Pelodiscus sinensis: one gene and its partners. The protein of the gene in region 1 interacts with the protein of each later gene in a pairwise test. Links are inferred from orthologs where the notes say so. Each region holds a gene or a part of one and is shown in the gene's direction. Other genes may lie near its edges.

The links.
Region 2: the proteins of SOX5 (region 1) and LMO1 interact in binary tests that used the Homo sapiens proteins (3 or more experiments, as listed by UniProt). The two-hybrid records come from large-scale screens. The link is inferred for Pelodiscus sinensis from reciprocal best matches to the Homo sapiens genes SOX5 and LMO1.
Region 3: the proteins of SOX5 (region 1) and ARID5A interact in a two-hybrid assay, tested with the Homo sapiens proteins (2 studies listed by BioGRID and IntAct). The two-hybrid records come from large-scale screens. The link is inferred for Pelodiscus sinensis from reciprocal best matches to the Homo sapiens genes SOX5 and ARID5A.

What each region holds. Positions count from the first base shown.
Region 1 is NC_134711.1:116,739,236-116,748,942, forward strand, and holds the start of SOX5 (transcription factor SOX-5), read left to right. Parts: upstream 1-4,728; 5' UTR 4,729-5,661; coding exon 5,662-5,753; intron 5,754-5,932; exon of another isoform or gene 5,933-6,468; coding exon of another isoform or gene 6,469-6,506; intron 6,507-9,707.
Region 2 is NC_134714.1:108,226,677-108,236,840, forward strand, and holds the start of LMO1 (rhombotin-1), read left to right. Parts: upstream 1-5,247; 5' UTR 5,248-5,285; coding exon of another isoform or gene 5,286-5,307; intron 5,308-10,164. UniProt on the Homo sapiens protein: May be involved in gene regulation within neural lineage cells potentially by direct DNA binding or by binding to other transcription factors.
Region 3 is NC_134738.1:5,952,568-5,963,261, reverse strand, and holds the start of ARID5A (AT-rich interactive domain-containing protein 5A), read left to right. Parts: upstream 1-5,949; 5' UTR 5,950-6,103; coding exon 6,104-6,107; intron 6,108-6,959; exon of another isoform or gene 6,960-10,523; intron 10,524-10,694. UniProt on the Homo sapiens protein: DNA-binding protein that may regulate transcription and act as a repressor by binding to AT-rich stretches in the promoter region of target genes.

The sequences.
Region 1 (9,707 bases):
TTCTTGGACTTTATAGACCTCTATTACAACTTCCAGTGGAAAAAAACAAAACGGGCAAAGCTCTATTTTCCAGCATTTTGCTTCACTTTATTGTTGTATCTGCCAAAGACAGATCTGAAGTGTTATCATTCAACAATTTTAGGAACATTTTTGTTCAGATTTTCTTTTCTCCATTATGCTTGTGTTCTGATATCTGGAGCACAAACAGCTCATATTTCCCCAAATACTATCAGTGTTGTTGTATTTGTAACCTATATAATGCATGTTTTTCTTATATGGACATTTACACTTTATATATCTTCCTTTTAGCCTCAGTCATTCATTTATATTATCCCCCATTACTCTCCAATTTCAATTGTCTTTCTTTGCCGGGGTATAGTGAATGAGGCAACAGCCACTAGAAGTGGAAGAGAGTTTTGTGGTTAAGGCATTGGTTTAGGTCTTGGGTGATTGATTTCCTCTGTGATTTTTTTGGAAAAACACTTAGGTTCATATACTCCATTTGTGTGTATTGGTGAAGGTCTCTTGACAATAGCTATGCCAGTTTACAGCAGCTGAGATCTGATTCTTAATCAAGCAGTGCTATAGTTCCTACCTATACAATGGTTCTAAATAACATTTTTTGGACCTCTCAGGGATGTGTTGAGGATGAATTTGTTAGTTTATAAGGTGACTATGTCCTGTAGTGGTGTGGACCAAATACCTAAGGGTCCAAAAGGATTTCATGGTTATTGTTGACCTAACTTTGCTCCCATTGATGTCAGTAGGAACAGTGCAGTTGACTTCAATGGAAGCCGGATTAGGTCAGCATTGTGTGGTTTTGAAATTCCTGCTTTTGTTGCAATTCACTTGTGAGTTACTTCCTAGTAAACACCAAATTATTTTCAAGTTCTGAGTTATTATTTTATGTATATTTAGTCCTTGAAATCTTCTAGAGTTACTCATATTTTAGTTTTTCTATCTAAAGCTATGTTGTCTATCCAGCCAATATGTCTGGTGATATCGGAGTGATAAATTTCGGAATCATAACATACATTTTAATGTATCATTCACCTTCGACTGCTTCTATTACACTCTGGCTGTATATCATTTTTGTTGAGACTACTTGTTACATGTGAAAACCTCTGCGTCCCTTCAAATAGACACCTAGTTTAAATACAAAGTAAAAGAAAGAAATAAACAAAAGAGTTGGCCCACAAACGTTTGTTTCTTTCTTCCCTAAACATGTTGGTCAGAGTTATTTGATGGGCAACATTCAGGTCTGCACCAGTAACAGATGTAAGTTCCAATATCGTAAGAAACAGCAAAGTTAGGAATGAGAATGTTCTGTTGTTGGAGAATAGCAGGGAATTCCCCAACTCCTCTGGTTTCCTCTTGTTCTGTGTTGTGGCAGCCCCGGAGGTAAGAGGTCTTAAAAATTGTGACAGTATGATTTGTAGAAAAGATTATTCAGTTAATTTTCCAGAGGTTTCTTAAATTAATTATTTATAAATTTTCCCTCCTTTCCTTCTTGAGATTGCAGTTGGGCACATTATTAAGACAAACCTGGCTTCACAGAGAAACATAAAGATAACAATGGTAACATTTCTGCCCTTTTCTAGACCCTGCTTCTTTTCCTCTGTGAGCCATGAGAGGGAGTTTAGTGGGGCTATGTCTAGACTGCAGGCTTCTTTCAGAAGCTTTTCCAAAAGAGATCTTCCAAAAAAACTTCTCCCGAAAGAGAGAGCCTACACATCAAAAGTACTTCAAAAAAGTGATCTGCTTTTTTGAAAGATAGTGTCCACACTGAATGCATGCTATCTCACATTTAACTTGTGATTCCTATGGATGGAGTGGCCTCCAGGGCACCTGTACATTTCCCTCTTCTTTCGAAAGAACTACCTTTTCCCCATCCACACACGCCTTTTTCCGAAAGAGCTCTTTTGAAAAAAGGCTTCTTCCTTGTAGAAAGAGGTTTACCAATGTTGAAAAAAAACCTTATGTCCTTTCGATTTTTTTTTGGAAAGAATGCGATTGCAGTGCAGTGAAGTTTTTTTCAGAAAAACGTAAGTGAAGTTTTTTCAGAAAAATAATTGTTTTTCAGAAAAACAATCTGAAAAAATCTCTGCAGTATAGACATACCCTGTGAGGGAGTTCAGAATAAAAGGGAAACTAGGCAGTTGCAAAGAGAGCTAGGGAATAGGGAGTGGTCCCTCAGGCTTCCCTATGGAGCAAACTCCTGCTCTCTACATCTTCTTCTGCCTCTTTTGCTTTTCCTCCTCTGACCAATGTCCTGCTCCATGCTCAGTGATAGGAAAAGTAAAGCATCACTGAGGAATGGGATAGCAGAGCTAGCAAAGGGGGGCTAAGGAGTGTGAAAATGATTAATTAAAATGGAGCCACCCAAATTTGACAGGTATCCATGGGAGGTGCCAAGCTATCTGGATTGGCTCATGACCATGAGTATCAGCCTCAGGATACACTGTTAAGAAGCAGGGCATAAACTCCAACTGGTACTTGAGAAGTTCACACTTGGTACTTGGTTGCTAGTGCCTAGTGTGAACTCTTCAAGCACTACAACAGTCTTAAAAATGAATTCCTAGACAGTCCCCTGGAGGACAAGCTTGCCTTTGCGATTAGGTGGTCCCTTACGCCAAACATCATGACAATATTGAGGTTATTCCTGGTCCCAAAGGACCAGTCACTTACCTCCGGTCAATTTTACCATAAATCTCTCACCAAAGACAACACTTGTAGCCAAACCTATATAAACTAACTTAATGTTTATTAATTAAGAAAAAGAAATTAAAGTTATTTACAAGATTAAAGAAGGTAAACATCTACAAATGAGTTACAAAAGGTAATAAAAGCTGCTGCAATATGCAGGCTTTCTGTGTCCTTTAGGGATAAGCCAAGCTAAGTAGCTTGGGGATCCCTTACTTATGCTTAGTAATATTGCCATCTTTAGATTCACTCAGCAGAGTGATACAGTTTCTTCTGGTCAGCCATTTTTATTTTCTACCCCTTGGGTTCAAACTGATGGAACAAGTGCTGGTGCTCTTCATGGGTATATGTGGGAGGGGCTATTAACGAAGTCTTAATTTTTTGATGGTTCATTTGGTTTCAATGGGCCTTCTTGTGAGCAAGACCAGCACTTTATGCTAATTAATGCTTCTTTCCTGTTTGGTGAGTTGTACAATTACAGAGGTTTAGAATACAAACAGTACAACTTCATAGTTTGGACTACAGATGTTATATGGGAGATCAGTACTGGCAGCCTCCTATGAATATTTCATCAAGTCTAAACACTAAACTCATGCTTATCAACTTAACATCTATTTTAACAATGCTAATACACAGGTGAGCCAGACTAGTTTCCAGCTCTGCATTTGTCAGTGTTCAGTGAAGCCTACAGGCTTTGGCATGAACTGGCACCAGTTCTGCCAACATTACAGGGGGTAATCTAACTTTTAACCATTTTAACAAAGCAGTGAACTCTAGTGCCTTTGTAGGTGAAACACTTGAAATTTGCAGATGTGCAAAAAAGGACGCATGAATTTCTAAAACAAAACTGTATAGCAGCTGTGTCCCCATCAGCTGAGGCAGTATTACTGCTTGATTAGAGCAGGGGATTGGGAGTAAGAACTCTTGAATTCTCATCCTAATGCAGTCACTTACTAGCTGTCTGAGCTTGGCCTAGTTACTTAACAAAGGCCAAAACCTTATACCTATATTCATACTGAATAGCACTTTACTCCAGACAGAGCCCTGCTGATTTTGGTAGGTCTCTCTGTGGTGTATGGTACTGTTCAGTACAACTAAGGGTATCAAAATTAGGTAGAATTACATTTATTTACTACAGAAGAGTAATGTGTGGCTTAATTAAAATGGTTTATGATCCTCAAAGTATGTGGGGTTATTTTTTCCCATCTGCTGCTGCCCCTCTATTAATGTCTGTTTCATAGTTATTCAGGAAGGGTTATCTACTAAAAACAAACAAAAACTCTTGTGCATATTAACTAGATTTGTCAGTTTATTGTGAATGTACCTCTGTTGAAAATATTATTTGCCAGGGGCTATTCAAGAAGACCAATTTACCCTGCCCCATGGTGAGGAGCCATTAGATCTACCTCATGCCAGGAGTTGACAATTTCTATGTGCCTGCTCTGAATGCTGCAATATATATGAAGTAGATTTGAGACAAGCTTCTTTTTTTAAACTCTTTTCTGTGGAACATGGAAGGTGCCTTTGCAAATTTAGCTTTAATGTTTTGCTCCCATGTAAGTAGAGTAATGCACATTTGAAATGTTCGTAACTCACAAGTGTTTATTATTTCTTGTGACTAAAGCTATGTCCGACTCATGCTGATAAAGTATTGATACTGCACTTGAGTGCATGCCCTCTCTGTATGTATGTGTAGCTTTACAATATATGCAAAGTTTAAAAGACTACATTATTTTAAAGGCACATATTGCTGGATTTTAATAGACTTGGCATGCTTTTTCTTTAAACCTATCAACACGAAAGGGCTGAAAGTTATATAGAGTCTCTTGTTAGTGTGTCTTCTTGCACTTGGTACTTCTAAAAAAAGTAAACTTGCTCTCTGCCTGTGTCAGGGAAAGGGGGAGCCAGGGAGGGAATGGACCTAATCAAACTGCTGTGGGGGTCAAAACCTTGTGTTTTTTAAAGGCTCTTAATGTTGTCCAGCTGCACATTTAAAAAAAAAAAAAAAAAGGCAGCCCAAACCCAACCAAGCCTAAATGGGGAGGAGAAACTGGAAGGCAAGGAATAGAGGGGTTGAGTGTGTAAAAAGAACAGACACTGGAAGCTTGTATTTATTTATTTATTTTTAAAGTGAGTTCAGTGCCAGCCTGGACATTGGCAGCGCAGACTATTGAGCCATTGTCTGCTCCATTTCCAGAATAGCCCCCCAGTTAATCACTTTGGCTTTGAAGGGAATTTCCTCGTGGAATTCTCCACAGAAAATCTAATCAACTGACCTGCCCTCTCCACAATAGAAGGCTTCTCCCATCTCCCCCCACCCCTTCCCTATTGGGGCGGGCTCTGTAATGTAGCCTTTTGTGCAGAATGAACCCTCCCAGTAGGAGTGGATAGCTGGTCTCTCTCTTTCTCTCCCCCTCTCTCTCTCTCTGTGTGTGTATGTGTGTGTGTGTGTATATATGATGTGGAGCATTCACACTGTCTTATCTGCGTGTGAATGTTGTGTGTGTGCGTTCCTGGTTGACCAGATGCTGCAGTGCACTGGCCAGTCCCTGTCTCTGCATGTGTGTGTGTGTGAGTGTGTGTGCGCGCGCGCGCCTCTGTCATTTCATGTCAAAGGTCCATTACCTGATTACCTTCCTCGTCTGCCAGATTTTTATCTAGATAATTGGAACCGCTCTGAGGGCTGTGCTGTGCCAGCCAGCCTCGGTTCTCTAAAACCACACTTTGTCCACCTTGTTATCTGCGGCTGTCTGGGCAGAGGAAATTAAAGAGATCCACAGCTAAGGGATTCCTTTGATTTGCTCAGAGAGAGAGAGAGAGAGAGAGAGATTTGGTTTTTGTTTTGTTTTTTTAAATCCAGAGGACAGCCTGAAAGTTGCTGGTGGCTGTTGTGTGTGCGCGGTGTGTGCTGTTTTGGCATGTGGCTACCTTTCCCCCTTCACACACCAGGGCTGTTTGATGGAGTTTGGAGCTGAGGAAACTTTGGTTTTGTTGCCAGGACGGTTCGCAGCACTTTGTGGCAAGCAAGAGCTAACAGTGCGACCGACAGAGTGAGTGACAAGTTGTTTACAGGTTTCCTTGAAGGGGCCTCTGCTATATTTCAATCTGTCAAAGTTGCTTTTCTTCCCTCAGAACAATGCCTGATTGTTTTTTGTTGTTTTTCCCCCCAAAGAGACGGAGAGGGAGACTTTAAAAAGAGGGGGGGGGGGAGGGGGGAAGGAATGGAAATTCTTTGAGTACAAATGCCTTTGGTTACATTTTTTATGTGTCTAATCTTTTCTTCCCTATTTCAACTCGGAGGGAGTGGATAATAGCCTCAGTTTAATCGGGCTGCTCTTGTTTTTATCTTCTTTCTCCCCTGATCTGCCTCAGCGCAGGGGTTCGTTCGCTCCTGGTTTATAGATTTCGGGGGGTTTCTTTGGATTTCATGGACGTTCCAGGAGTTGACTTTTCCCATTTTGTGGTGACTGGAGGACAGAATTAAAAGGAAAGGACAGGCACCCTGAGGTTGTCTAGTGCCTTGCAGCCGCAGCGTGCTGCTCCGCTGTGGGGGGAGTTTTAGAAACAGTGTCTACTGCTAAGTGTGCTACCCCTTTAAGAGACTGGTCAAGGAGTCCTAGCTCAGAGAGGGGGGTGGGAGAGAGAGAGCCAGACAGAGAAAAAGAGAAAATCAATCGGTTTAGAAGGTTTGGACTCACTTGACAGGTTCAGTTGGAGGCGATCATAGGTGGCTGCTGTGACAAAGGGAAATTGTGCTTTTCCAGCATGCTAACTGACCCTGATTTACCTCAGGAGTTTGAAAGGTGAGTGGAGTGTTTTTGTGTGCATGTCTCTCTCTGTGTGTGTATGTGTGTGTAAAAAAAAAAAAAAGTCTAACTCTCCCTTTTTACAGCAGTCTCTGTGTCAGTGGTGAGATGCTCCCCCAAAGAATGCTCGGTGGAGAAGCTTTACCTTTGCAATTCGGATTACATGTCAGTTTGCTGATCGTTTGTTTGTTTTTGTTGCACGAAGCAGATTGAAGGGATCTGCAAAGTCCTCTACAACTGCCTCACCAGTAATGCTTTTCTGGTGGGGATTAGATCCCTAATGGGGATCTTAATGAACGTTACCATGATCTCTCTCTCTCTCTCTCTCTCTCTCTCTCTCTCTCGCACTCCTTCACTGAGCCACTCTACTAAATATGGGAGGAAATATTTGATGCAGAATGCCCTCATTGTTAGCATCTCTCTGTCTTCAAGAAGTGATTTCTGGGGTGATGGAGAAGGTTTCTGGTTGGGGTGAAGCCATGGATTTCATTTCCAATCTGATCCTTCCCTAAAACTTTGGAAGGCGCTTTGTAAAGCACATGACCCTTTGTTGATCTAACAGAAGTTATTATTTTTAGTCAAGTTAACTGCCAAGAGATCAGCCTTTACGTATCCAAAAAAGGGGGAAACTCTTGATTCTTCTAAGTTTTTGCCAGCAGCTTTTCGCTGAATGTCAAAAGCTGGATTTTTATTTATGGTTTATTTATTGTCTTTCCCCATTCTAGCTAATGTAGGAACTTTAAACATTTAGATTTAAGTTTTTGCTATCACTGGCAGTAGTTTGTAACCTCCAGAGCTTACTGCTTCTTTCACTTAAATCTGCCTTTTCTAAACTGTGTTTTGAAGCCTTCTCTCATACATTGGTACACACTTTCATTGAAGATCCAATATCCTTCCCCTCCAGTTTATTTTTAAATATTATAAATAGGCCCTTGTTTTCCTTTAACAAAGAATTCAAACTTTTCATTTAGTAAATAAAAGAATGCAAGGGGATGCGTGCTACATAGGCTTTTTTACCCCTTCATTTTCACGAAAGCTACCTTCTGTATAAACATTTGGTTGTATCTGACTATGCAATGCAGGCTAGGTGCTAGACCAGCTGGTTAAAAATATGCTAAGTCAAGCTGTTCATCGCTCAAACTACTGAATATGATAGTAAAAGGTACAGAAAAGAAAGGAAGATGAAAACAGTTTAAGTGGGCAGAAAAACATGCATGCAATGAAAGGAAATGAAAGAATACTGGGATTAAAATGAAGAAAAATAAAAATATAAGAATATGAAATTAAGTAGGAAATTCAAAATAGCAAGAACTATTTTAACACTTTGTGTCTCCTTTTGTAAGACTGTTCCTTACCAGAAAACGGCACTAGAATTGTTGAACTACTTCAGAGATTTTATTCAATGCAATTCATTTGCCAACTCTATATAAAATACCTGACAGTTTTCTTTAGTTTCTTTTTATTGTGGTAGAAGAGTAAAGATTGCTTTTGCTCACATGTAGTGTATTAAGTTAGCTAGAGTACCTGGTTTAGAGTGATGAACCTTAAGCTAATGTAACAATAAACAAATTTATCTTGTACCTGCACATAGTGGTTAAAAGTATTCCATATGCTTTACTAAGGTAGAAAATTGTAAGGAAACTATTGGATTATTCTTTGAACTTTGTGATGAATAGAATACATATAAGTCTATAACAGATACAGTCTTTTCATTTTTCTTTTTTTCTTCATTTTTTACTTAACTTTTCTCATAGTAGTAAAATTTCTTTCTTCCTAATCTTTCTCAAGGCATACATTTCATTTTTAGAGCTCAAAGATTTGCTCTTGTAAAAATTCTAGTTAAATAATTAATAAACTGCTATTCTTTTGGCTATGCAAATGACTTCAAGGAAGAAAGATAAGAAGCAATATAAAAGAAACCTCGCAACAATATGATTCTTTTTTTTACCATTTTTCCTCTGCAGTTAGAATTGGCAATACAAACCAATATCTGTTAATCATTACCATTTGTTTACATTGTATATATGTGTTTGGCTGTCATTACACACACACAAAGCAGATACTGTCCATGTAGTATATTTATATTTACCAAAAGACAGGCATGAGAATATGCGCACACACACATAGACATACTTCACATACATATCCAAGTTACACATGTACCATATTATATAGGAGGCTACTTCTTGAGCTGTTATATTCTCAACAAGCACATTACTTTGAGTGTGTTGTCTCCGCTCTCTGAGGTTCCCACCTGTCTCATCCACATTGTCAGCTTCAGTCTTGTTACTAACGTGCACAAGCCCCTGTAAAACTGATGTGTCATAAATTGCAGGGAGGTAAAATTCAGTATGCAGAGCTGATGGCTGTTTAGTTCTCAGGGTATATGTTCCGCAAAACAGTTATTCTTCTTTTGCTGTCATCACTGTTCTAAGGAGAAATGTTCATGTTTCATTGTACTCTAGTAAATATAATCAGTTTAGAAACTTTAAGAAGTCACTCCAACTTTCTAATAAATTGATGGGTTAAATTGAAGGAGACTTCTCTTGTTTGTCTTTGGTCGTTATCATGGACATTTGTGATGCACACTTGGAAGGAAAATGGTCCACAGTATCAGGCGAATAAACAAGCATTAATTAATTCCGCAGCAGTAGTAACATGCACAAGGTTTTGTAAATTGACACGTACAATTTATAAATTGTTCCTTAAGTATTCATTTTTGGTTTCTATTGAGAAGTTCCTTACACCTCTTTATTTTTATTTGGGGAGGTTTCAGAGTATACGCAAAAGGATCATCAGAGAGTGCAGAAATGCTTGCAGTAAAAATGTATGCAGAAATGTATATCTATAATCTGTCTGCTTATTAGTGAGTAAATTACTTCTGGGATATAATTTTTGGTGCACCTGTGGCACTTAGAATCCATATCAAATTATTTAAAAGAATCACCATGAATGTTAGATGATTACACAAAGTTTGCTGAAAACAGAAGGTCAGCCCACAATGAAAAGTTTGACTTCCTTGAGAGATAGAGCAAGTGTGATCGAACCATCACAAACAGCACTGAAATTTGCAGAATGATTAAGAGCTCAAAAATATCCAGCATAAAGTTTTAATGTCCTAATAAAAATCTAGTAAATGAAAAATAAAGTTACCTCTTAACAATGTCCCTAGTGAATCATCTTCTTAAATCAACATTA
Region 2 (10,164 bases), on another chromosome or scaffold:
TCAGTGTGGACGCACTATTTCGAAATAGCAAAACGCTATTTCGAAATAGTTTTTGTGTATAGATGCGTTATTTCGAATTAGCTTCATTAGAATTAACTATTTCGAATTAAGTTAACTCGAAATAGTGCTGTAATGTAGACATACCCACAGTGGAGTTCTTACACTGATGGAAGAAGCCCTCCCATTGGCCTGGAAGGTGTCTTCACTAAGCACTATAGCAGTGCCGCTACAATGCTATAAATGTAAACAAGCCCTAAAATAGCCAGGAATAAAACATGGGTCACCAATATGACAGATGCAAGTCTGACTCACTCAACAATAGTGATAGAAATGTAGCCAGGTTAGTCAGGTGTAGTTGAAACAAAATACAGGACTATGTAGCACTTTAAAGACTAACAAGATGGTTTATTAGATGATGAGCTTTCGATAGTCTCTTATAGACAACCACCTAACCTCAAGATGATTCTTACCAACAACCACAGGACATACCACACTAATACCAACCCTGGTACCTTCCCTTGCAACAAACCCCATTGCCAGCTTTGTCCACATATTCACTCTGCTGATACCATTATTGGACCTAACCAAGTGAGTTATAAGATCAAGAACACATATTCCTGCGCATCCAGAAATATAATTTATGCTATCGTGCCAAAAGTGTCCGTCTGCTATGTACATTGGACAAATGTATCAGACACTTTGCCAAAGGATCAATGCCCACAAAACAGATATTAGACAGGATCACAAAGAAAAAACAGTTTCTTGCCATTTCAACCAGAAAGGACATTGTCTCAACGACTTAATTACCTGCATCCTGCTTCAAAAGCCTTTTAAGACTGCACTTGAAAGAGAATCCTCTGAACTGTTATTCATGCTAAAATTCGACACTTTACACCTGAGTCTGAACAAAGGATCTAGTTATCTTACCCATTACAAAGATAGCTTCCCCAAATTATCACCTCTAATATCAGTAGCTCACAGACATTTACCTCCCCCCCACCCCCTTCTGTTCTGAAATTTGATTTGTCCTTTTCATATGTGTTCATTTTTTAATTGTATCCTTTGGTATATATGGTCGTGACAATTTTCTTCCACTATTTGATCTGAGGAAGTGGGTCTGGCCCACGAAAGCTCATCATCTAATAAACCATCCTGTTAGTCTTTAAAGTGCTACATAGTCCTGTATTTTGTTTCACTCAACAATGCCACTTCAGGAATAATCAGCTAAATCTAACTCAAGTACAAGGAAGTCTCAGAGGGTAGCTGTGTTAGTCTGTAACTTTAAAAATGAGTAGTCCTGTTGCACCTTGGAGACTAACAAGTGTGTATGTGTGTGTGTGTGTATAAAATCATTTTGTGGGCAAAACCCACTTCTTCAGATGAGCTAGGAATCTGTTCTGTGCAGTTGAAACCTAGGAAATTACATTTAAAAATTGTTAAAACAACACCACATAATGTTGACAACTCAGGCACTCAAACATTAGCAAATGCCAAAATTAAGATGGCTAATGAAATCTAATTCTGCCACTTTGAGTATGCATTATGATATGATAGTTAATTGCATACTTGTATACTTTTTCCTCTACTGGGTCTCTGCCTCATTCAAGCACAGGAAAACTTGTGGAGGTCTTTCCATTGACTGGGATACAACACAAGTTCACTCCCCAGGAAATCTTCATCTGCTATACTCCATCATTTTTTAGGCTTTTCCTTTTCTGCTACTTGTGGCCAAAGCAAAAGAAGAAAGGCAACTGCAATCTATTCAACTGGGAATTGATTTGAGACACAGGAAATCTGGATTTCACTCTTGGCTTACAATTCAGCTGATGTGTGATCCCAGGCAAGTCACTCCAACTTTCTGTACTTCTCTTTTCCCTCATTCTCTTTGTCTGGTTTTTTTTTTCTATCTACACTGCAAGCACTTCAATGAAGGGACTGTCTGTTACATGTGGTTTTGTTTAGCCTGCACCACAATGGACCCTAGCCACTGTAGGTGCTATCATAATATGAACAATAGTGCATAAAGCCTTGAGTGGCATATTAATCATGTCTAGTCTTGTTCTGAGCATGCATGCAATGCAGACTAGTGCTACAGCATTGGGCTGGGAGTCAGGAGACGTGGTTCATATTTCCAGCTCTCCCACTGGCCTACAGTGTGACTTTGGGGAAGTCACTTTCACATCTCGGAACCTGTTTCTCTTCATACACTTTGTTCTATTTTGAATGAAAATTCTTTGAACAGGAACTCTAACTGTGCATTTATATAGTACCAGGTAAACTGGGGCTATGGCAACACTACTTAATAGTAGTAGTAGTATATTGTATTATTTATTTCATTTTATTTATTAGTATGGGAAAATTCTTAAGGAAGGCCATTCTCATGGTATTTCCTGTCTAGTGTTTTTAGACTCCAGACATTCGCGTAAGTACTCAAATGCTTCCTTTTCTGAATGGATTATCTGAATATATTTGTAAAAGGCACACAGGGCAATGCGCCACTATATTGTAGAAAGCATTTCTCTGAAGTGGAGACTTTTTACATAGTGGTTAATCCTAGGATCTTTATTAAGCCTGCATAAATGTAAAGATAGGGATCAGTGCGTATCATTTAAACTGTAAAATGTTTGCATGGAGAATTATTTCATGTTTTATGTTTTATAATAGCTTGGCTTTGGCTGAGAGACCTCACTTCAATTTGTCCGTTGCCTCTTCTTCTCTTTCTCATCCCCAGACACCACGATCTTCCTGAATTCAACTGTGAACATCACTTCTAGAGACGTGATACCAAAATCAATATTCATTTCACAGTTTAGACCCTTTACTCAGTTTCTGGCTGCTTCTCCCTTTGCATCTTCCATAGTGTCCTGCAGCTTAGCGTATCCAAACATACGCCTCTTTGGTAAGAGTATCCTTCAACAAAACTCTGGTACCTCCAAAAAGCTCAGAGTAAAATGAAAAAGTTGCATACTTAGGTCTTGATCCTACTACCATTGCAGTTAAAGTTTCAATTGATTACAGCAGAAGCACATTTGGGCCTTTAAAATGTAATATATATTAGCGGTTCATGAACATAGCTAAAGGTTTCTCCAAGTTTGAGATTTCTTGTGTTGTTTCCAAAAAGATTCATTAAGTTAGACAGATCAACTTCATGTGGGTACAATATATGCCATACACTGGAAATTAAATATCAGAAAATTAACAGAGTTTGTTGTGTTATAAAGCTGCAGGCTTTTTTTAAATCATTATACTCATAGAAAAAAGTACTGCACTAATGGAACACAATATTATATTGTAAGTTGTATTTGCAAGTAACTTTGGTTAAACTTGCTTAGCAATAAATGTAACAGGTTTTCTTCTTGGCTTTATTTGACACGTACAATGTGTGCTTTAAAGATAATGAGTAGCGTTGTCAAATGAACGACTCTAATCATGGCAGCCCCAACATGAGAAATGTGGTAATGTGGAAGTGGGAGGAAATCCCAGGAGACAAATCTTTTGGCATTTTAAAAAAATTTCCAGATATCACAAAAATTGTGTGTCTCACCAACAGAAACCGTCCTGATTAAAAAAAATTAAAATCAAGACAGTGGGGGGAAATGAAATAAAGCTTAGTATATGAGCAGAACTAATATTAGTTTCCTGATAGATTTAGATAGGCAAGGGGAATAATGAATCAGCTCATGTATTGCCTGGGGAAACAAAATCTTCAATACCCCTGTGCAGATTGAGGACACTAACAATAAGGGTCTTTGGTAAGTAAAAACCAATTTTGGGGGGAAATCAATAAATGCTTTTTAATGGAAGTTCACATGGAATTAAAATGTGGGTAACCTGCAAGTTCCCGTTTCAACTAATGGAAATGCTAATGAATGATGTTCCAGTTTCAACTAATGGAAATCAAGCCCATTATGGTAAACATAGGAAGCAAGTACATTAATAGTAGGCATTGACATTAATTCAGATTGTAAACAATTCAGAACTGTTACCAATACATGGTACATTATTTGCCATCTTATCTGCTGTTTTCATAGGACTACTTCTTTCACAGCTTTTTAAAATACAGAAAATTGACTGCTACACAGTTTTATCAGTTTTTTGCCATAGTAAACAAAATAGTTTGCAAATTCTGTTTTGCTCTCCCTTCCCCCATCAACTCTTTATCTTTTTGTGTGTGTGTGTGTAGCTGAAAACACTTTTCAAGCTAGTGATGCCACCTACATTCATTGCTATGCAGTTCTGTACTTTACTTTTAAAAAGTTTAGCCAGGGGGAGATGTGGGGAATAATCTGTGAGAAGTAGAAAGAAAATTGATCTTATTTATACAGTAACACGTGTGTTAAAGCAATGCCTCTTTTCCTTTGCTATAGACTCCTGCATTTTCTCTCACACGTATATACACACACACACACACACTTTAACTGTGCTTTTGTGTTTTGTCAGAATTAATGAGAAAAGTTCCCTTGCCCTAGGGGTAATTAGTGTCCTTGGAGTTAAATAAGCTAATACTTAGACACCTCTGGCACAGGCAATTATGTTTGTGTATTGAATAATTGATTCAAAGAGGGGGGGAAGAGGCTGCTAATCAGATCTGAGCATAATGAATTGATTTAATTAACAGGGGAATCTGAGGGTCCCTGGGAAATGTGCGCATTTATTCAGCAGCAAGAGAGAGTGCAAAGCACATAAATTGAGAGAGGCAGGCAGCAAGTGCTTTTGCGTTCAGTGATAGGTTCGCATTTTTCCTCCCCCTACCTCCCTTCCTTTGAATATAATTTTAGCTTTAGAGTGAAATAAAGAGAAAAGCACTTCGGAAGCCTGGGAAGCTCGGCAGTAGCAACAGCAGAAAGGAGGAGGGGGGGGGGTGCTTGTGAGCTATCATATGCAATTCCATTCAAACCAATTTTTTGGCTGTGCACCTTGGGAAGGCGCTGGAGAACCGGCCCTGGATTTGGTCTCCTTTATCTTTCCAGAATTCTTGCGCTCCTCTCCGCACGGGCCTGTGAGTCGTGGCGGGAGGGCAGGGGCTGAGCGCTTGCCTTGGCACTAGCGGAGCGCCCCAGCCGAGCCCGGCGCAAGCGAGGCTAGAAGTCGTGCAGCCGCCGCTCGCCGGCTGGGGTGGGGAGCAGACCCAGGGAGGACGGCCCGGGTGCGCGTGCCGCCGGGCAGCGCTTTGCAAGCCCTCTCGGGCGCCCCGTCCCTTCCCCTCTCTGGCGCACAGGAGCGGCGGCTGGAGGGTGAGCGGACGCCAGCGGCGGAGGCAGCTGTTTCCCGCGAGCCCCAGAACCATGGTGCTGGACAAGGAGGACGGTAGGTGGGACGCCGGAGGGTCGGGCCCGCCCCGGCTCCTTTGGCGCGCGGCCGGAGAGGCCGCGCGCGCGGCCGGCGGAGACGGGGGCATTGCTGCAAGTGCCTGTCGCGGATGCCGTGCGCAGCGGAGCACGCTGGGGTGCGCGCGCAGGGCGGTCCGGGCTCGCCTGCCTGCCTGCGCTGCTAAACTCCATCGTGCGGTGCAGGGCGTTCGCTGCCCCTGGCACGCGGAGCGCGGTCTCTTCAGCCAGCGCTGTGCTCGCCTCCCTGGAGCTTGCTGGTCTGGGTTCGCTTCTCTGCCCCTCTAACTCCATCAGCCTCAGTGTGGTCTCTTCTCCCCGCGCGGCGACTGTTGTCCCCTCCTATTGTCGTGTTTACCCTCTCGCCTATCCCACCCCTCCCCAGCTCCCTCCTCGGCTCTAAACCCGCTATTAATGCCTAAGAGCTCACAGCTTTGCTAAACTGCCTCACAAAGGGCGCCTCGGCTTCTTGTGGGAAAGGATTTACTTTTTAAAAGAGGCTGGGAAGAAGGGGGATGTGTGGATGTGGCGATGAGAGAGAGCTGACTGCAGGCAACTTTGGCTCAACCATGTGCTTATTGTCAGGACTTGCTAGACATTCATGTGGCCCCACTTGGGAGCGGGGAAGCAGGCCAGAGTTAAAGACTAAGTTAGCTAATTGAAAGGGAAATTAATTCTGACGTGTAAAGTATTAAGAAGGGCTGAAGAAAAAAGGAAACTGGTAACTCACCACAATAGCCTCCTGCATCCTAAAGAAGTGAGAAATAAGATGAGAAATACATCCAGTGAGAAATAAGATGCTGCTGGAAGTTTTTGTAATGTGGGGCTGGGGTGAAAGGAGAGGATAACTCCCACCTCTGCCAGCCTGCACTTCTTAGCTGTCAGAGTTGGCTGTCAAAGGTTATTTGCTGTGCACGGCTGGGGTGGTGGTTCTGAGTGAAACAATCCATACAGGCATCCTGTAACAACACTGCAAAACTTTTGCCAGGGTTATCCTACTGAGGCCTTTTCATTTCTACTCTCACCCCCCAGATATTTCAAATCTATCTACAAAACACCAACGAGTAGTGAAAGTGTGGTCACCTACTGCTGTGCATGGTGATGGCCTTTCCCAGTTTTCCCAATACGTGCTCATCATACTGACTTTTTAAAACTCTTTTAAGACCCTTCTAGTCTTGTCATTTTCTTCATAATTGAAAAGACTGTGTCACAGCCAGCACCATTGCCTGTCAGAAACTAATATGTATATACCTGGACTTCACTGATTCTGGCGGTATTTTATGGTCATTTTTGTCTACAACTGTGTTTTTGAATAGTGGCCTTTGCTTTGGGGATTGGCATGTGGGTGGCTGCTGGGTCAAAGGTCATTTTATATGCTTTTCATTGGCATAGACAATACTTGGGGAAAGAAGTCCATGCTGCTCAGAAAATGGTCCATTCCTCCAAGCCCATATTAGGTAACACAACTAATTCTTAATTCTTCTCCTTTATCTGTTGCTATCACTTTCCAGCCCTCTCATCTCTAACCAAGCTATGCCAGTCATATATGTGTATGGGAATAGGAGCATTACAGAGGTTGCTGTCTTTTGCGGAGACTGATGGGTGATTATGTTGTTGGTCATCATGATCAAAGTCCTATCACCACTTCAGAACGTCATGCCGTCTTGCTGCATATAACTGTGTCACTTGCCACAAAGTCAGGTGGCATTGGCTTGTCACCCGTCATGCCAACTTTAGTTAATTGCAAACTGAAAAGCCTTACAGTTGGTAGTGTTGTAGTGAATGCTATGTTTGTATAAATATCAAACTTCTCTTCCTGAGGAATGGGGGGGGGGGGTTAATTTGGAAAGGCAAATATCAGAAGCACCCTTTCCCACTCAATTTTGGAGTAACTGCCTTTGCCAGGTAAGAGCCAGCGTCACACAAGCTTTAATGGAGTGAGTTGAGGCATGAGGAAAAATCATATCCCTGCTTGTGTGCCTACTTGTTGTGGGAGGGGGTCACATCTGTAACAGCTAGAAGGTTAAATGCACACTCCAGCTTGTGGGGAGGGAGCTGAATGCTCTGTTGTTGCATCTGTGGACTTAGAAGCTTTTATACTATTCCACAGTTTTGTCAGAGCCCTCTGAAATAAACTGATCCAGTGATGGTAATGGGCTGTAATGTTCCAGCAGTCAAAAGTAAACCTGTGAATGAGGGGAGAGAACTTGCACTACATTTTAAATAAATGATACAAAATGTTTAGTAACAAAAAAAAAAAAACCCCTCTCTCACATCTGCATCCTGATACATGGGGCTAAATAATAACATTAGAGTTAAGCAAGGTTAATTCTTTTCCAGTCTGGCTCATGTGATAGGGTCTGTATTTCCCTCTGATTTCATTTTTGTGGGTAAGCCACAATGGTTGATCCATGAAACTTAAATGGTTGCAGTGCAAATTTTGTTTGACTTGAGGGGGAAAAGGTCAGCTTTTTACTTTCAGCATGAAAGTCCTCCAATAATAATAATAAACTAGGCAACATCTTAATCTCTCTTAACTTTCTGCCAAAGGGTGCCTGCCAACCCATATCTGTTTAAATCTGATTGACGGGTTAACAGCGGGATGCTGGCTCTGCTGTAGAAGTAAGGGAAGCAGGTGAGCTATAAGGAAAGACTGAGATCTAAAGAGGGTTTGCTAATGGGAGTATTTGGATTCTTTCAAGTATTGCAGATGGACTCGTTAAATGTAAGGAGCTCAGGGCTGGAATGATGGTGGTGTAAGGAAGTGAAACTAGAACCATTGATTATCCAGACAGTTCTCAACAGCCCTCATTCCAGGAGCTCTCGTGAATGGTGATATAAAAGGAACTAATGGGGATGAGGGTGAAGGGAAGGAGGAAATTAGAATGAAAGACACTTAAGAAGAAGAATAGTAAGAAATTCCGGATGTGTAGATCAGAGTAACAAACTGTAGTAATGCCTGGGAGTCTTCAAAACTGTTGATAGTGTAGTTATGCTAGATGTGAAATTATACCTATTAAGTGTCAGAGGAATTAGGAACGGAAGGGACAGATTGAGAGGAAACTATATTATGAGGAGGTTATTCTATGCTTTCCTTTCTCCTTCTGCCTGACTCGGATGGTGCTCCAGTTTCCTGATTATCTGTGAATGTTAAAAAGGATGCTGAATCTGCACAGGTTATATATAAATGGACTAAAATAAAGATTACTACTAGCTATACCAGTTCCTTGTCTTGAAAGACCTTGTTAGTGAAAATGGGTCTGTTTTATTATTGCAAGCGGGTCTCCTTCTGGGAACCAGTCTGTGTTTGTTTTCGTTTTGTTTTTTGGGTTAACCTTCTAAAAAAACCCAAAATTGCAGGACACAGAGACAATTCACTTTTTTCCTTATTTTGCAGGGTCATTTTTAATCTTAAAAGGTAACTTTTTTACATAAGGCGGCACAGTGATAGCTTAATGAATGCTGCGTGCATCTGTGTGGGAAACCAGGAATGGCTTAAGTCCCTTATTCCTCCAGCAGTCTCGGGGCATTGCAGAGCACTCACATCCTCTTAGGTAGAAGTTGTAATGTGCTTCTTCCTTTTGCATCCCTGAGAGCTAGTTGTCCAACTGTATTGTTGTTTTGGTGGAGATTGCTCTCCCAGCCTCAGGGTACATGCTGCAGTGATGGCTTCAGGGGAGCATGCAAGCCTTAGGGTGATACTGCCATCATCATACAGGGTCTAATAATCAGTTTGCTGCCTCGTAAATAGACAGCTGCCTTGACTCAAACTCTTCTTGGTGTCGATAGGGACAAGAGAAATGCAGCATCACTTTCCTAACGGCTCTATAAATATCACTGTGGGTAAAGGGAGAGTGGACAAAAAAAATTGTCAAGTTCCTGACCTGACATACTGTGGCACCATATCATATTTTGTCTGTAAGGCAGCATTGCTTCATATGTCTGAAGTGACACAGTATAACCAACTGATAGAACCCAATGGGATAGTAGCAAATATTATTAAATAGAAACTTACGTAAGTGTTTTCCCAAAAGGAATCTTCAGATCTGTAATTAAAGAAAACTCGGAGCCCAAATCGCTAGAGACTTGCACTTGATACAATTCTAGTATGTTAGCCACAGCCAAATTTGGCCCTGTGTGTTTCTTGTTTTGCCTTGCACAAACTGATCAGCCCAGTGTCTAGATAATTACAAAGCTCAAGGTTATTATAAATATTCCTCAAATCTCTAATTGCGCCTAATGCTTCTATAGTGGAGAGCAGAACTCTGCTTTTAAAAAAATAACATCAGTAAGCAGATCTCAAATATCGTGACTAGTTTACAAGACTGGTTTAATTGTAGCTGATTCTGTTTAATTGCTAGTGAAGGGGTGTGTGTGAGAGAGAGAGAGAGAGAGAGAGAGAGAGAGAGCTGTTTAATGTAAGAATCCAAGTTACTGGATGTGTAGAAGTAATGGAGGAAAGAAGTGCATATCGGTACAGCACTACATATTAATGCATAAGATTTTTGTCAGCCACATAATCAATCAATCTGTAGGCATGTTTACAAAAAAGTCCATGGTAATAGACAGCAGTTATTTAATGTAGATGAGAAGATTAAACATGTAATTATCAAAACAGCTACATTAAATCTACTCTTTACAAAAATAAAGCATTGCCCCAAAATAGACGCTGTGGGATAGAAAAAAAAGATTACCAAAAGTAAGGTGCTGTGATCCAAAAAATGTTGGAATATGATTTCTAATAAAGGTTAGCAATGCATTAGAGGAATGCTAAAATATTTATCTGTGGTAGGTTAGAAATTCCTACTTTTCTCTTAGTGTTTGTTAAAAAATGTTT
Region 3 (10,694 bases), on another chromosome or scaffold:
CTGTCATCCATTTCCTGCCCCTGACAAACAGAGGCTAGGGACACCATTCCTACCCATCCTGGCTAATAGCCATTGATGGACCTAACCTCCATGAATTTATCTAGTTCTTTTTTTGAACCCTATTAAAGCCCTGGTCTTCGGGCCAGAGGATGTTGTGGAGCCACAGGCTGATTCTGCACTGCTTCAAGAAACATTTCCTTTTGTTTGAATCCATGTTCCTATGGACACTCAGGTGCTGTGTCTCCCTCTGCCAGTTGCTGCCTGTGAAGCTGGGCTCTGAACCATGCAAGGGCTGTGCATCCCAATCGCAGCACCTGCATCTTTGCAGGAGAACTACAGCAGAGGAGTCTCCAAGGACACAGAGGTGGGAGCTGGTTTAGCCTCTGATTGCACAGACGCATGTAAATTGTATTCATGGTGGAGCTTTAAATCAAATAGATATGAAAACACCAGCCCCCAGAGTAGGAAACCATCATGCAGGAACGGGGGGCTGTTTAAGATCAGCATTCCACAGGAACTCTTTTCAGTAGTGTAACAAGGACTCAGTCCAGATGGGCAGAAACAGGCTGCAGTTAGTGGTAAATAGCATAAATTATAAATAAATAAATTATTGGAGATTGCCTATCTCCTAGAACCAGAAGGGACCTTGAAAGGTCATTGAGTCCAGTCCCCTGCCTTCACAGCAGGATCAAGTACCAACCCTGACAAATTTTTGCCCTGAATCCCTAAATGGCCTCTGCAAGGATTGAACTCACAAGCCTGGGTTTAGCAGGCCAATGATCAAACCACTGAGCTATCCCTCCCCCCTTGGCTGTACCTACACCTACTTGCTCCTCAAGTCTTCATTCATGCCATCCAGGAAGGTACTTCTTCCAGGGGTTCCCCCAGACCCTGAGATTAACTTGGTTCAATTTTGTTTGGATAAGCCGTCCTCAATACATGCTCAGTATTGTTATTGGTTGTTTAGACACTATAGCAACAAGGTCAGTATAATACTGGGCTTTCAACGATATTAAAAAAAAAAAGAGTCACTAAACCAAGGTCTTGTCCTAAACATTCTCACCTAAAAAATGGAAAGGAAATTCACATATGCAGGAGGAAAGGTCCACTGGTTTTCAAGCCTGGGATTCCTAGGAGTAAAGGTTTTTCATAACTGAGGTTTAGGCATGGGAAACATCCCCTCTGCTGTAAGATCTCACTGCTTGGCTAAGATTAAACACTGTGATCACAGAAGCTCAGCAAGAGCTGCTTCATGGCCTGGAAAGCAATCCAGCTATTCCGGACAAAAGGACAGAATACAGAATGAAAAGGTACAATTATCCAATATGGCTTAGATCCAAAGACCAATTAAAGCAGTGAGAGTCAACTGACTTAAGTGTGTTTGGTCAGGTCCTATATTAGATTTCTCACCACAGTGTCTCCAATTAATTTACATCTCCACATCTTGTGAGCTGCAAACTCCATGTAAGCTCAAGGGTTCATTCATTTTTATTACACTCATAGAATAGTTAACACTCAGGCACAAAACCAACATCTTTGCCATCTATATCTCAGACAATCTCAATTCAAGGCCTACACTATTCAGAGCAAGTTCATCCATTTCTAACAGTTAACTTACATTATCCCACTCTTACCCCACATCCTTTTCTCAGACAGTGATCTCTGCTAATTCAGTTTTACATCTCACTGCTTTATGAAGCCAAACTGAACTCTCCACAATTATATTTTTTGAGTCACTATGACTCTGGACTATATACATAGCCACAAGAACTATTTATAACACGAGGTGATATTTTACTGAAAGTGCCTTCTGTGCCAATCAGAGCTAGAGATTCAGTAATTTTCTAGCTTGCAACCCCACATGGCTAAATGGTTAACTCTATGTGGCCACATATCCAGTCCTGGGCTTTTCTAGGGTCTGGACTTCACTCATCCTCTTTCTCTGTCTAAATGTAGTGCCCAATCCCACAAAGTACTGGCTGCCTTAAAACCCAGTAATAACAATAGCAATTAAGGTCACACAGCAGGACTGAATTAATAATAAATGGTGGATCCATATAATAAATTGCAGAACCATTATGCTCAGGTGCACTGCCTCACATGAATAATGTGGCCAATCTCAGTCCAACAAAACCTACATCCCACATTACTTATGATATACTATTTAGGTCATCTAGGGACCAGATGTAGAGTAGCATTGAGCTGACACCTCTCCTATAAGCATCATTGGGAGCTTCAAGTGTGTAGCACCACCGAAAATCACACCCCATCTCTTTGGCTCTGTTGCTGTTTCTTGTTCTGTATCTATCTTATCATTTATCTGGGGGATTATTGTAGGAAAGTTTCTTGGAAGGGGTTATTTGAACCAAGAGAAGGAAGTCATAAAAAGCACAAATTACTCACTGTTCCTTATACCACAGCCCTTCCTGTACTGCCCCCTCTCTCTGATCAGTTACAACAATATGTAGTAGAATATTTTTCCAGCCTCCTCCTCCTCTCCTGTGTGCTATTGCACTAAGAGGAGTACAACTCCAGTTTCCTGTTTTTTTCACAGTAATAATCAAAAGAAAGGAAATAACACAACCCTTAAGCTTTTTTCAATAACAGTAACATGACACTAAACAAAATGTGTGAGACATTACAATCATAGCTGGAATGTCCCCAGTCCCCCACCCCGCTTTACCCCTTATCAAAACCTCTTCCAGTTTATTCCTGATTGTGACCCTTCCCTTCACCAGCCTCCACACTTCAAACCTGTGGCTGGCATAAGCAAAGCAGCAATCCCTCTTAGTAGAGACTCAGTTTATACTGGCAAAAAAAAACATCTTGGTGGCATAGTGTATACCAGTTACCTAAGCAAAACATGCTTCAATGCTATAAAACACTTTTTGCCAGTGTAACTGACTATACTAGAGCTTTTGATGGCACAGCAATGTCATGAAAACCCAAATAGTTCTACTGGCAAAACTTTGAAATGGACTAGCCTCTCACCTAGCTACATCATTATGGCTTAGATTTTTTGTATTCTTCAATGCTTTTTTTTTTTTTTTTTTTTTTTTTTTACTGCAGCTACTAGCATTTGAAGGCAATAAGGCCTCTCTGGTGAATTAGTATATTCTTTCAAAATAGAAATTATGGAAGTAATTCAAGATTACTGCAAAACTCCAAAACATTATAGGGTATTTTTGCAATGCTATATCACAGGCTCCAGCAATAAGACCCTCTAGCCCAGGGGTCGGCAACTTTTTCAAACCAAAGAGACAAACTACCTCAAAATTCAGAACTAGTGGTCAACAAAGAGCTGTATAAGAATGCCCATTTTCATGACTGAAAATATACAACTTAATATTATTGATAATTGACATGATGATTAATAACAAATGAAATATTGTACTCCGACTTTTATTTAATGGGACTTCTGCTGCTGCATCTTTTCGCACGTTTCTTTGAAGTTTACATCATCACTGGTGAAATTCAGGGTCATGCATAATTCAAGTTACATGAATAATTATGTGTTCTTAAAATTTTGAATTAATTTTTTATTTTAATTTTAAAAGTTGCATGTATTTTGGGAATGAGAGAAGAGCCATATTTGGTTACATACCGAGCCATATTTGGCTTGAGAGGCATAGGTTGCAGACCCCTGTCCTAGCCCCTCCACTGGCTGTGCCATTTGGCTTAATGGATCTTTTCAACAATTCAGTTTGTCTCCATCCACTGAACCCTTACTTTAAATCTTCCAGTTTTTCAGGGCTAAGTGCTCCTCACTAGTTGCCATTTGAGTGTATAATTCAAAAGCTGGCATTAAATCCCATTCCCCACTGCTGTATATCACTATTTTTATTTTAAATAAAGTCATCTCCACAAGGTATCAGAAGCCAGAGAGAAAAGATCAAATTTATTTACAGAATGTAACACTACCAATGGGCTAGACACACATGGACACAGAAAATGGAGACAGGCTTGAATAGCAACTACCAATGAATATTTGAACCAATATTTCAGAATGGACAGAAATATCAAGCTAAAATAATGCTACATTTTAAACATAGCCATGTCTCAAGGGGATAAACTGAAGGAACTCATTGAAGTCGGTGCACCGGCACTTGTATTGACTTCACTTGTATTGGGCTTTAAAGGAACAGTTCTAAAAAGCCTCTGGTTTTGTAACTGTCTTTAAAACTAGAAATACTGTCCACAGTCTCAACTACTAGCCATGCTCTGGTAGGGACAACTGAGTTTTTGTACTCAGCTCTTCCCTTCAGGCACTGAGTGAGGCTGGGATTTCATTTCTCCAACTAAAGCCACATATTAGCTGGCTTCCGCTTTCTACTACAGATACATCAGGCATATATCCCTGGCTAGTAGGTATGCCGTCAAGGTAACAGTGTCCAGCATGTCCCCACGAAATCGCACAGGTCAGTTTCTCTTTCTCTGAAGTGCGGAACACAGAAGTGCATCTTAGGAGCAGTGTGCTCGGGCTCCCCCCTTGCCTGCGCCTGGTTCACACGCACGTGCCCGGGTTAGCCAGCGCTCCCTTCCCGGACGCGGCTCACGCGTGTGTGCGGGGTGCCTGGCTCACACAGGGGTGCGGGCTCGTCTCTTCCCGGCATCTGGGTCATAGTTGTGTGCGGGTCAGCCCCCCCCCGCACCCGGCTCCCCCCCGGGTCAGCCCGCCGGCCCCCCCCCGCACCCGGCTCCCCCCCGGGTCAGCCCGCCGGCCCCCCCCCGCACCCGGCTCCCCCCCAGGGTCAGCCCGCCGGCCCCCCCCGCACCCGGCTCCCCCCCGGGTCAGCCCGCCGGCCCCCCCCCGCACCCGGCTCCCCCCCGGGTCAGCCCGCCGGCCTCCCCTCCCCGCACCCGGCTCCCCCCCGGGTCAGCCCGCCGGCCTCCCCTCCCCGCACCCGGCTCCCCCCCGGGTCAGCCCGCCGCCCCCCCCCCCGCACCCGGCTCCCCCCCGGGTCAGCCCGCCGCCCCCCCCCCCGCACCCGGCTCCCCCCCGGGTCAGCCCGCCGCCCCCCCCCCCCGCACCCGGCTCCCCCCCGGGTCAGCCCGCCGCCCCCCCCCCCGCACCCGGCTCCCCCCCGGGTCAGCCCGCCGGCCCCCCCCCGCACCCGGCTCCCCCCCGGGTCAGCCCGCCGGCCCCCCCCCGCACCCGGCTCCCCCCCGGGTCAGCCCGCCGCCCCCCCCCCCCGCTCCCGGTTCCCCCCCGGGTCAGCCCGCCGCCCCCCCCCCGCTCCCGGTTCCCCCCCGGGTCAGCCCGCCGCCCCCCCCCGCTCCCGGCTCCCCCCCGGGTCAGCCCGCCGGCTCCCCCCCCCGCACCCGGCTCCCCCAGGGTCAGCCCGCCGGCTCCCCCCCCCGCACCCGGCTCCCCCCCGGGTCAGCCCGCCGGCCCCCCCCCCGCACCCGGCTCCCCCCCGGGTCAGCCCGCCGGCTCCCCCCCCGCACCCGGCTCCCCCCCGGGTCAGCCCGCCGGCCCCCCCCCCGCACCCGGCTCCCCCCCGGGTCAGCCCGCCGGCCCCCCCCCCGCACCCGGCTCCCCCCCGGGTCAGCCCGCCGGCCCCCCCCCGCACCCGGCTCCCCCCCGGGTCAGCCCGCCGGCTCCCCCCCCCGCACCCGGCTCCCCCCCGGGTCAGCCCGCCGGCCCCCCCCCGCACCCGGCTCCCCCCCGGGTCAGCCCGCCGGCTCCCCCCCCCGCACCCGGCTCCCCCCCGGGTCAGCCCGTTCGCCTCCGGGAGTGGCCTGGGCCCGGCCGGCGCGGGAGGGGGGGAGCGGGGCAGCCCCGCAGCTGGCCCGGCCGGGGTCCTGCTCCCTCAGGCGTGGGGGGAGGGGCGAGCCGCGCGCAGCGGGCGGGCGATCGGCGGGAAGGGAGGGGGGGCGGCTCTCTCGCGAACTACAAATCCCAAGGGCCCGCGCGGCGCGGGGCGGGCGCGCTGAACTGACGGCGCCCTTGTCCAATCAGCCGCTGAGCGCCGCCCAATGGGCGCGCGGGGCGGGGCGGGGACAGAGTTGCTGCTTCTCAGCCCGGACACTCCGGAGTCTCGCATGGGCCGGGCGGCGGCGCGGGGGCCGGGCGGGCGCTGAGGCCGCGGCGCTGCGGGCGATGGGTAAGAACCAGCCTTGCCTGGGCTGGGTCGGCAGCGCGTCCCCAGCCGGGAAGCGCGGGGAGGAGGGGAGTTGGGGGGGAGTTGGACTGAGGGGGGGGAGTTGGGGACTGGGGCTGGCGGGGGGGGGAGTTGGACTGAGGGGGGGGAGTTGGGGACTGGGGCTGGCGGGGGGGGAGTTGGGGGGCCGGGGCTGGCGGGGGGGGAGTTGGACTGAGGGGGGGGGAGTTGGGGACTGGGGCTGGCGGGGGGGGGGAGTTGGACTGAGGGGGGGGAGTTGGGGACTGGGGCTGGCGGGGGGGGGAGTTGGACTGAGGGGGGGGAGTTGGGGACTGGGGCTGGCGGGGGGGGGAGTTGGACTGAGGGGGGGGAGTTGGGGACTGGGGCTGGCGGGGGGGGGGAGTTGGACTGAGGGGGGGGAGTTGGGGACTGGGGCGGGCGGGGGGGGAGTTGGACTGAGGGGGGGGAGTTGGGGGGACGGGGGCTGGCGGGGGGGGGAGTTGGACTGAGGGGGGGGGAGTTGGGGGGACGGGGGCTGGCGGGGGGGGAGTTGGACTGAGGGGGGGGGAGTTGGGGGGACGGGGGCTGGCGGGGGGGGAGTTGGACTGAGGGGGGGGAGTTGGGGGGACGGGGGCTGGCGGGGGGGGGAGTTGGACTGAGGGGGGGGGGAGTTGGGGATGGGGGCTGGCGGGGGGGAGTTGGACTGAGGTGGGGGGGAGTTGGGGACGGGGTCTGGCAGTGGGGGGATGGGGCTGGGAGCAGGGGAGAGGGTTGGGGTGAGGTGGGAGGCCAGGACTGGCAGCAGGGGAGTGGGTTGGGGGTAGGGGGAGGAGTTGGAGTGGGAAATGGGGCTGGCAGCAGGAGGCGGGTGCCGTGCCCCATTTGAGGACAGGGAAGTCAGCTTTGGATTCTGGTTACGGTCAAACCTCCGGCGCACTCCCGAGCCCCTGTCCTGCAGCTGGGTTTGGGCTCAGAGAGAGCAGGGGTGCACTTGCTCCCTAGCAGCCCCTTGGAGATGGGAGCCGCAGCTGCCCAGCCCGGTTCGCAGGCTGGTCCCAGAGCCCGGCCGTTAGGCTGCAGATTCTTCAGAAGCAATGAGGAGGGAGGGGGAGTTTTTTCCTTGTCTCAAAAGTTTCTAGCTGCAAGGGGCTTCCCAGTAATTTTTATCTCAAAATGCACTTTTCTTTCTAGTTGGTAAATTTCAGTGCTGTGTTGGGTTCTGGCTTCCCACTTCCTGTTGTGGTTTGTAATCTTTAGCTGTTCTCAGCTAATTTGTTGTGACAGCTGTCAGCAACAGCTTTTTTTTTTCTTTGGTTCCCAGAAGAATCTGGCTGTTTTTCCCCTTCCCCGTCATGGCCTCCAAAGGGTTAAGCTGAGGTATTGTACAGTGTGTACGCAGAATTCTGGTTCCATTGTACGCTGTCATTTCCCGAAAGTGGCTTACTCTTGTGCTTTGAAGATGCTAACGGCCCCTCCTTCCAAGTCAAGAAATGGTTTGACCTTTTCAAGAACACTTTTCAGCTACTACAGCCATGTAGAAGAATGAAACTATTCCCATTTGCCCCATGCTCACGCAAGCACATACATACACACACGTACCAGGGTAGTGTGAACAAGATAAATGTTTAGTAGTGGGGGCAGGGGGAGGGGAGAAGTGACTCTGGAAATTGCAGTTTACTGCTGAGAAGTACAAACATCTACTCTCAGTAGATTTTTCCAAAATACCAGAGGACCTGGCTGTTCCAGATTAGGTTGGAGCTGTTTTTCCTTGGATATTTAGTAAATTGCATTTGTCCACAGTGCATTCTCCTGTTTTCTATGCATTGGAATATGTATGAGATTGAGCATCCCCCTCTCCTCTTAAGTAAGGTTTAGATGAGCTCATGGGTCATTGTCCTCTCTCATTTCTGATTTGTTAGCAAGGTTGGGTGGCCTTTGTTTTAAGATTTTCTTTTTGTGGCAGGGTAATCTCTAGGGTGAAGCCTGGAGAGCAGACTTTTATTTCTTGCTCTGGCCTTGGGTGACTCCTTGCCTCATTCTGTGCCTCAGTTTCCCCACATGTAAAATGGTGTTTTTGGTACTGCTCCATTTTATATGATATGTCGACATCAATCCACTAATGATAGCAGAATAAAGAACTGAGTTGAAGCAGCATGCCCTGCTCTCCTCTCTGGACTGGTGAGAAGAGGGTGATTGGAGCCCCAAATTGTGCAGAAGGGCAGCCCCAAAACAGGCACTTTGCCATACCAGTAAAACTGCAAAGCAAGGCCCAGCATGCAGCTGCCTTGGAAAAAAACAGGTGCTTTGCAGTGCTGCAACCCAGATAAGATGCATCCCAACTGGCATGAAACAAAGAACAGTGTAATTACTGTATCTTCTGGAAAGGGGGAAGGGAGGCAACAACTGCTGAGGTCTGCCTTGGAAGAATGAAGCGGGAGCTGCAAAACTCTGCAGAGCAGAGAGGCAGATTCCTACATGTGGTGTGAGCCAAGCTGTGTTCTCACTCCACCACATGCAACCCCCACAAACCTTGGTCCATCCAGTATAACTGTTAGGAAAACTCTAATTAATGGCATTTTGCTTGCTTTGTAATTAACAAACGCCTGCACTTGTCTCCTTTGTTTGTTGGGAGTTGTGCTCTTGTGTCAGTGAGTGTTCAGGTGTCTGTCCCTTTGTCTCCCTGCCTGTTCTCTGTGCCATGCTGATGAGCTGAGGCAGTTTGGAGGGGACAGACTCTTAGCCTTCCTTCCTCCCCCACAGTGGCTCCTGCCATAAGCCGGGTAAAAGACTCAAGCTGTTCTCTGCTGTTTCCCAAAGTTGTCATCATGTCCAGTAATCCTCTCAGAAGCCGGGCTTGTCTTGGCTGCCTTGCGTGGTGATCTCATGCCCAGAGAACATTAAACCGGCCAGTTTTCTCTCCCCTTTGTACAGTATGTGAAAGCGTTTTATGAGCTCGCTGACCCCGTGGGGCTGAGAATGACACACAGCAAACACGAACTGGAGTAGGCTGAGGGGTTGAGCTTTGGGAACAAATCAGCACTTGTTGTTGTTCAAAAGGCTCAGGAAGGAGAGGTGGATATTTCAGCAGCATCAGGAGACAGACTGATGTGACCTGGTTCTGATCCATCAGCTCTGGTTCCCATCTGCCTCCCTCCCCCCCCCCCCAGCTTGGAAAAGGGGGTTGTTGGAGTAGTCGGTGACCTCAGCCCGGCAGATGTTGCTCGCAGGAGCTGTGGCACCGGCAACAGTGCAGAGTAGGAGGGAGGTTTTGTTTGTTTGTTTCTCTTCCTTTCTTGTTATGTAAACAGAATCTATATTAAGCAGTTATGCAATGTGGGAGGAATTTCACAAATGCAGTAAGGTGGGGCAGGGTCTCTGCCCTGAGCTCACAGCAGAGCATGAGCCTTTCATTTCAAGAAACATTGGGTAGTATTGGAGCTGCTCGGCAAGGTGGCTTGCATGACCACAGACGAAGCTGTCCATGATACGGCCCAGTTTCTGATAGAGGGTGGCCTCCATGCTTGCTGTGACAAATCAGGGTCCCTCTTGAGGACTGACCTCTGCACAGGGACTTGGCACTAGATCCCAGCTCTGCCACTGCCCACGTTTCTGCTCGGTTCCTGAGTTTCCTCTCTCTCAATTTAGAGTGTAAAATCTTCAGGGCAGGTACGTGTCTGTGCAACACCTAGCAAAGTGGGGCACTGATCTCCATGTGGCCTCTAGATATGACAGTAATATGCTTCTTAGAGCATCCTGGCTGTGCTTCCCTTGGCCTGGCCCTTGGGCTAGAGTTTCCCTTTTGTCTCTCTGTTCGGGGTGGGTTTACTTTTTTGTAAGTGTCCAGTTCTCAGTGACTTTCAGGCTGAATTAGCAGCAGCACAGCCCCATATACATGTTTTAAGCCTAATGGGGACAGTGCAGGGCAATCTGACTTGGAGAGGTTGAGATTCTTCTGTGAGCCAGGTGGAAACTGGTGAGAAGTATTTAACTGCTGGGTGGTGAAGGGAGGTAACCTCTATCCAGCTCTCCATGATGTTCAGGCTCTTGTTGATGAGCCTGAGGGTAAAGAGAATTCGACAGGGCAGGATTATCAAGGGCTGCAGTAGAGGCAGGTTCCCATGTGTTGCCATGTCCTAGGTGATGAGTGGGGAAGTAGAAGGTATCTCCACTTGCTCGCTGGCTAAAGGGATTTTTTTCATCCCTCCTCAGTGACTCGAGGGGAGAGTGAGCCACCTGCCAGAGGCAGTTAGCTGAGCGTCTGGCAGGAACGGATGTGGCTGAGGTGGGGAAGCGTTCACAGCTCCGCACTAGCTCATAGGGCTCCAGGAAGCCACCCTGAAAGTGAAAGCAGTGGCCAGACGCCCCGCCATCACGAGCTGTTGACAAACACAGCATATCTCTGAACAGGAAGCCCTGCAGGTACCTGCATCACAGAGGTCTCTGTTCTTGGAAAGCCTGCTTGTTTTCGGGCCCAGTCCAGGGTATTGGGCCCCTCTGACATATCCAATGCTGAAGTGTCCCTGACTGGGGACTGTCCTTCCGTTCAGAGGCAGGACCCGCCTCTGAAAGAGCGGCATGTAGCAATGAACC